Cricetulus griseus: one gene and its partner. The protein of the gene in region 1 interacts with the protein of each later gene in a biochemical or structural test. Links are inferred from orthologs where the notes say so. Each region holds a gene or a part of one and is shown on either strand. Other genes may lie near its edges.

Region 1 (3,816 bases):
ATGCCATCAAGAAAAAGTTGGTGCAGCGCCTGGAGGTAAGGCTGGGCAGTCCTTGCAGGGAGGTGGGGGGGTAAATGCACGGATGCAGTGAGAGGAATGAGTGGGGGTAGGTGGGGAGAGTGCCGTGTAGGCCAGGGCCTGGGAATGCCTGGTCTTCTGATCACTCTGTCCTTCTAGCATGCAGCCAAACAAGCTGCAGCCTCTGCTACGCAGACCATCGCTGCAGCCCAGCATGCAGCCTCTGCCCCCAAGGCCTCTGCTGGCCCCCAGCCCCTGCTGGTGCAGAGCTGTAAGGTAAGTCTCCAAGAGGCATGTGGGAGTAGGGAGGGGTCAGAACAAAGGTAGTACTTTCCCTGACTTCAAGAGCATGAGATTCATGGCACTTTGACCTACAGGCTGTGGCAGAGCAGATTCCATTGCTGGTACAGGGCGTCCGAGGAAGCCAAGCTCAACCTGACAGCCCCAGTGCCCAGCTCGCCCTCATTGCTGCCAGCCAGAGCTTCCTGCAGGCAAGACACTCTCCACTTCTAAGACCAGATCCTCCCCACCTTTCCAAGACCTTAGATCCCCCACAATCTGAGTATCTGCTAGTAGCTGAGACCAAACCTGAGTGCTTACTTACTGCACCCTACCAGTGTCCGTTGGAAGGCTAGAGAGAGGGTATTGTATACCTCATTTGCATATCTTCTCCAACAGCCAGGTGGGAAGATGGTGGCAGCTGCAAAAGCCTCAGTGCCAACAATTCAGGACCAGGCTTCAGCAATGCAGCTGAGTCAATGTGCAAAGAACCTAGGCACTGCACTGGCAGAGCTCCGTACTGCTGCCCAGAAGGTATGGGAGCTGTTCTAGCTGTGGAAGATGAGGCTCTGTATGTGGACTCCTGGGATGGGGGAGAATTTGTACACTATAACCTCTAAGAGGGATGACTGTAGTCTGAGGCCCAGGAATGTAGCCATACCCCCTGCTGCTCGCCATCACAGGCTCAGGAGGCATGTGGACCTTTGGAGATGGATTCTGCACTGAGCGTCGTACAGAATCTAGAGAAAGACCTGCAGGAAGTAAAAGCAGCAGCTCGAGATGGCAAGCTTAAACCCTTACCTGGGGAAACAGTGAGTAGTCGGTCTTATTAACATGCCCTCAGCCAAACCATGAAAGTCTGCTCAGCTATGCCCTAGAACCTTCATTTAATCTTCCAGCTGTCCCCAAGAACCTTCTCAGATACCCTCTCACTTCCTCCTCCTCCTAAGCCTTCACCCTCTTATCTGCAGATGGAGAAGTGTGCCCAGGATCTTGGCAACAGCACGAAAGCAGTGAGCTCTGCCATTGCTAAGCTGCTGGGGGAGGTTGCCCAAGGCAATGAGAACTATGCAGGTATGTAGGCACAAGGCTAGGAATGGGACATATGATAGGGAAATGGAGAAGGGGGGCCTTGTTGGGGAGAGAAGCTAATGGAGCAAACCTATCTCCTCTGTGTGTCCCCAGGTATTGCAGCTCGGGATGTGGCAGGTGGACTACGGTCACTTGCCCAGGCTGCTCGGGGTGTAGCTGCCCTGACATCAGATCCTGCGGTGCAGGCCATTGTGCTTGACACAGCCAGTGATGTTCTGGACAAGGCCAGCAGCCTCATTGATGAGGCAAAAAAAGCAGCTGGCCATCCAGGGGACCCAGAGAGCCAGCAAAGGCTTGCTCAGGTCAGTTATTAGGAGGGGCTCCTGCCCACCCCTCCCTTAGATCTCTTCAAAAGGTTCACCCTAATAAGACACACACTCTTCAGCTTCGTGTGTCCTCAGATCTGCTCATAAGAGTGCCTCTCTGAATTCCACCTTCTCTCTTGTCTTAGAAGTATCTGTTAGGCTTAGGCACAAACCTTGCAGAGCAGCGGGTTTGGGGATGTTTGGTGATTATTGTTTGTTATGACCCTGACCTCAGCTTCTTCCAGTTTTAGTGGCAGGACAGCTTGTTATCTCCTATGTCCCAGTGTGGAAGGAGGGCTCTCCCAGATTATTCCTTCTTTGGCAACCCTGTTTCTTTTCCACTTCAGGTGGCGAAAGCTGTGACCCAGGCCCTGAACCGCTGTGTCAGCTGCCTGCCTGGCCAAAGAGATGTGGACAATGCCCTACGAGCAGTTGGAGATGCCAGCAAGCGACTCCTGAGTGACTCGGTAGGAACAGGCATGGCTAGGAGAGGAGAGCTTTCTGTCTCTGGGCTTCTCCTTTGACCCTGCCTTCCCAGAGCTGCCCTTTTCATTATTCCTAGGTCCCGTGCCCATCTTACTGGCCTTCCTTTCCCAAACTCTGTCTCACCTCCCATCCATCTTCCTGACTTTCCCTCTGACCCCACAGCTTCCTCCCAGCACTGGGACATTTCAAGAAGCTCAGAGCCGACTGAATGAAGCTGCTGCTGGATTAAATCAGGCAGCCACAGAACTGGTACAGGCCTCCAGAGGAACCCCTCAGGACCTGGCTCGGGCCTCAGGTCGATTTGGACAGGACTTCAGCACCTTCCTGGAAGCTGGAGTGGAGATGGCTGGACAGGCCCCGGTACGATGGGGCAAAGGGTGTTATGAGGGCACAGTAGGGGACACATGGCTGTTTGGGGTCTGGGTCTGCTGGTTGCCTCCTCCCCAGGGTCTATCAGAATGTGAGTATTTGGGAAAGATCCTTTTAGAAACAGATATGACAGGATAATGTATGCTCTCACCTGTAACAGAGCCAGGAGGACCGAGCCCAGGTGGTCTCCAACTTGAAGGGCATATCCATGTCTTCAAGCAAACTTCTTCTGGCTGCTAAGGCCTTATCCACAGACCCTGCTGCTCCCAACCTAAAGAGTCAACTGGCTGCAGCTGCTAGGTAAGCAGGAACTGGAAAGCCCAGCTCTGGGAACCTGTGAGAAGGCCAGAGAGAAGACATTTCCTAAGACATCCCCAGGGTTAGCAAAAGAAAATATATACAGTCCCATGCACACAGGACACAGGGAAGATCACCTACTCACTGAGTTCCACACCCCTCCCCCAAACAGGGCGGTGACAGACAGCATCAACCAGCTTATCACCATGTGCACCCAGCAAGCACCTGGACAGAAGGAGTGTGACAATGCCCTTCGGGAACTAGAGGTGAGCCTTTAGCATAGTAGCTGGAACTAAGGAGCTAGGGCTGAGGGAATGTCTCAAATTTCATGTCACTCCCCTACACAGACAGTCCGAGAACTCCTGGAGAATCCAGTCCAACCCATCAATGACATGTCTTACTTCGGTTGTTTGGACAGTGTCATGGAGAACTCAAAGGTTAGTGGGCCGGGGAGCTCTAGAGAGGCAAGGACAGGAAGATGGACTTAACACTGATACCTTGATGCTCAGGATGTGATCCGACCCTCCTGACACCCTCTCTTCCTTAGGTCCTAGGTGAGGCCATGACTGGCATCTCCCAAAATGCCAAGAATGGAAATCTGCCGGAGTTTGGAGATGCCATCGCCACAGCCTCCAAGGCCCTCTGTGGCTTCACCGAGGCCGCTGCACAGGTTATTTCCCTCAGATGGACTCCTAGAGCAGCTCTTGCTTTCTATGTCCTTTCTCCCTTTGCAAGGATATAAATCAAGAAGCTAGTGCAAAATCTGGGTGCCCCCCTTCTGTAGGGAAGGGAGATGGTCATCAGAACTGTTGAGCTGCAGCAGCTCAAGGTGCTGTAACTCTTGGTTTTGGTCACATTGACCAGCTGTCAGGCTTTGTTGTTTTTTAATGGTGCTGGAGATTGAACTAGAGTCTCGTGGCATGTTAGGCAAGCTACACTCTAATCTAGGTGAAGCACTCTTATTAAAGTA
Region 2 (3,178 bases), on another chromosome or scaffold:
ATATGTACCATATGCATGCCTGGGTGCCAGGGAAGGTCAGAAGAGGTTGTCAAGTGGTCTGGATTTATAGATGGTTCTGGGCCACCATGTGGGTGCTGGGAATTTAATGTGGGTTCTCTGAAATAGCAGGGAGTGCTCTTTGCCTCTGAGCCATCTCTCCACTAAGTTTTAAAATGTACACTTGGGTGAACCTGCATCAGATGGGTACAATTCGGCCTGAGAACTCTGCTTTAGACCACTTAGGACAGATTATGGCTGTTTTAAAGACTGCCCCCCTTCAAAAAAAGGGTGAAATTACTGTTTTGACTATCTTAGTTCCAGTCCTTTGTTTACGTGTTAAGACCTCATTCCTAGACATGTCTGGTGACTCCTGCTTTCTCCCTCTGTCTCCCAGAGTGTCCCAAGGGTCCTGACATCCTGATGGTCCTGATGTCAGTGATGGGAGCCATTCTGCTCATCGGTCTTGCTACTCTGCTCATCTGGAAGCTACTCATCACCATCCATGACCGGAAGGAATTTGCTAAATTTGAGGAAGAACGAGCCAGAGCAAAATGGGACACAGTAAGAGGCTGTGCTGTGCTTGTGTTTTCTTAAATCTTTGGTTCAAGAGCCAGAGGTTGCCGGGCAGTGGTCTGGAGGCAGAGGCAGGCAGATCTCAGTGAGTTCGAGGCTGGCCTGGTCTACAGAATGAATTCCAGGCCAGCCAGGGGTGTCACACAGAGAAACCCTATCTCAAAAAACCAAAATCCCAAACAAATCAAAACAAAATACAAACAAAGCCTCCCCCAAACCAGAACCTGAGGTCCAGGCACCAGATGTTCGCTGTGGTCGGAGTCAGCCCCGACAGTTGTTCCCTAGTTATCCTGTTTGGCAGATGGTTTGACTATCCTCTTTTGTCTTTATAGTTCATGAAAAACACCCAGTCCTTTACCTTACAGTGACTGAAAGTCGTGATCCCTGTCTGTGCACACATAGGACTCTGTGATGAAAGGAGACATTTACTCTCCAGTTGATTGAGACAGGGCAGATCTGTAACACACTGTATAGTGGTGAGCAAGTCTGAAGTTTAAACATGAACAGAAAGTGACAGAAGAGTGAACATTTACTGAGGACTTCACACCAAAAACTGTAAGGTGCTTTTGACACCTTACTTTGCTTTCTCTCTGTTAAGGAGGCTGAAGCTGAGAATTAAAGTAGCTTGCCTGACCCAGAAAGGAATTGGGTGACTGTAGGAATTCCGTTCGGGGTCGACCTTTTGATGTAGCCACAGTACATCTGTTTACTTCATTCTCTCCTTTTCTGCAAATGCAAAGTAGTAGCTTCCAAACCAGGCTTCTCTGGGGGACCCAGGATGCAGTTTATCCTGATTTAATCCAACCAAATGAGCATTAAGAAAAGAGTGTTTGTGTGTGTGCAAACCAATGCATGCCATGGCATTTGTGCAGAGGTCAGGGGACAAGTTGCAGGAGTCAGTCCTCTTCTTTCTTGTGGGTTCTGAGGATGGAACTCAGCAGCAAGTTCTCCCCCCACCCCTACTGTGCCAGCTCACCAGCCTATCAAACGAGCAGTTTTTTTTTTTTTTGAGAACCACCTGTATATTTAATTCTATTCTCTTTTTGTTCATTTTATTTTTCCTGAACCTACCAAGTGACCATTTGACTCTATAGAGTATCCAGGGTTAGGCTGAAACTTTGTTCCTGGTGACCCTAGATTTTGTATTCACTGGACCCAAGAAGCAGAGATGTTTCTGTTGGGACTATGTAGAACATTCTGAGCCACCAAGGGACCAAAGAATTTTGTAAATATCTCGTACTGCCATTGAGCGGGGGATTCATCAGTTTTGTTGGGAAATAATTTTGGAAACTCAGTAAAGGTCTTCTGTCTTCCTGAGCACACAACAGGTTTGTGGGTAGCAATTGACTCAAGAGATGAGATAAAGCAAGAATTATTTCAGTAAAGCTCTGTGTTCTGACCCCACCTACTCCCCTTTTCCTTTCTGGCTCACATCTCCTGGCACTGCCGTGATGAAGGGAAAGGAAGAGTAGAGAGAGAAGAGGAAATAGGAGAGACTGGGTAAAATGGTACACTATTTTGGGACAGCCAAGAACTAATGGGTATTCACCACCAAAAGTTATGGGCTGAATTAGAAGCCCTTAGAAATGGCGGCTGACTAGCAACACACCATCCTCTCCTCTCCTAACTAACTGTCTAGTCCCATCCTCAGAGCAAAAGCGTATATGTGCACACGGCTGCTTTTGACAGTTGACTCTAGAGAAGGATGTCTTGGGCAAAATTCTCAGATGAAATTCAACTGCTGAGGGTAAGGAAGTGCAAGGAGCTGACTGTGACTCTCTTCTGCTCTTTTTGCAGGCAAACAACCCACTGTTTAAAGAGGCCACCTCCACCTTCACCAATATCACCTACCGGGGCACTTAATGAGAAGAAGTCATCCTTAGAACTTTGTCAGCTTAGGCCAGATTTGTCAGATTGTGGGAGTCTGTGACATCATGTTTACAGGGGACAGTATTTGTGGGTAGAATCTGGGGCTTGGATTGGGACCAGCTGAAAAAAGTATGTGGGAGTGTATCTCTGTGTATGTGTATATATATGTGTGTGTGCGTATGTGTTAATGGGAGTTTATCTCTCTCTCTCTCTCTCTCTCTCTCTCTCTATATATATATATATATATATATATATATATATGTGTGTGTGTGTGTATATATATGTGTGTATAAATATATACACATATATATGTATATATGTGTGTGTGTGTGTGTGTGTTGAGTGTGGGGTAATGTGTAGCTTAAAACTTTTGAGTTGTCCCCATAGGCAGAGCTCCACAGCCTTTGTCCTCAGAATCCCTCCTGAAGGGATTCTTCGTGCTTAGCTTGAGGGGAACTCATGATGCTGAGCGGGCACTCTCTGTTACCTCTGAGAAGCCAGCTTGCCTTGTTAGGTCATTCTCCTAGAGAGAAGGGTGGGGCTGAGATGTTTTGGTTCCAGAGGAAGCGATACCAGGCCTTGGCTCTATACTGAGTTTGTATGATCTGGTTCTTGGTCCTGTCAACAGCTACAGTAGGAACTGCTTGCCTTTGAAGGCCAGTTGTATCATTTGTGCCTCTGCCCACCTCCCTTCCCTCAGGCAGAAGGTGGAGCTAGGGGAGAATTGAGTCCTCAA

What was found.
Region 2: the proteins of Tln1 (region 1) and Itgb3 form a complex in vitro, tested with the Homo sapiens proteins (6 studies listed by BioGRID and IntAct, with this or other methods). The link is inferred for Cricetulus griseus from reciprocal best matches to the Homo sapiens genes TLN1 and ITGB3.

What each region holds. Positions count from the first base shown.
Region 1 is NC_048595.1:99,973,571-99,977,386, forward strand, and holds part of Tln1 (talin-1), read left to right. Parts: coding exon 1-35; intron 36-177; coding exon 178-294; intron 295-395; coding exon 396-509; intron 510-696; coding exon 697-831; intron 832-980; coding exon 981-1,109; intron 1,110-1,268; coding exon 1,269-1,371; intron 1,372-1,482; coding exon 1,483-1,691; intron 1,692-2,041; coding exon 2,042-2,161; intron 2,162-2,342; coding exon 2,343-2,540; intron 2,541-2,709; coding exon 2,710-2,849; intron 2,850-3,018; coding exon 3,019-3,112; intron 3,113-3,193; coding exon 3,194-3,283; intron 3,284-3,393; coding exon 3,394-3,516; intron 3,517-3,816. UniProt on the Homo sapiens protein: High molecular weight cytoskeletal protein concentrated at regions of cell-matrix and cell-cell contacts. Involved in connections of major cytoskeletal structures to the plasma membrane.
Region 2 is NC_048600.1:117,689,386-117,692,563, forward strand, and holds the end of Itgb3 (integrin beta-3), read left to right. Parts: intron 1-394; coding exon 395-561; intron 562-2,370; coding exon 2,371-2,436; 3' UTR 2,437-2,626; downstream 2,627-3,178. UniProt on the Homo sapiens protein: Integrin alpha-V/beta-3 (ITGAV:ITGB3) is a receptor for cytotactin, fibronectin, laminin, matrix metalloproteinase-2, osteopontin, osteomodulin, prothrombin, thrombospondin, vitronectin and von Willebrand factor.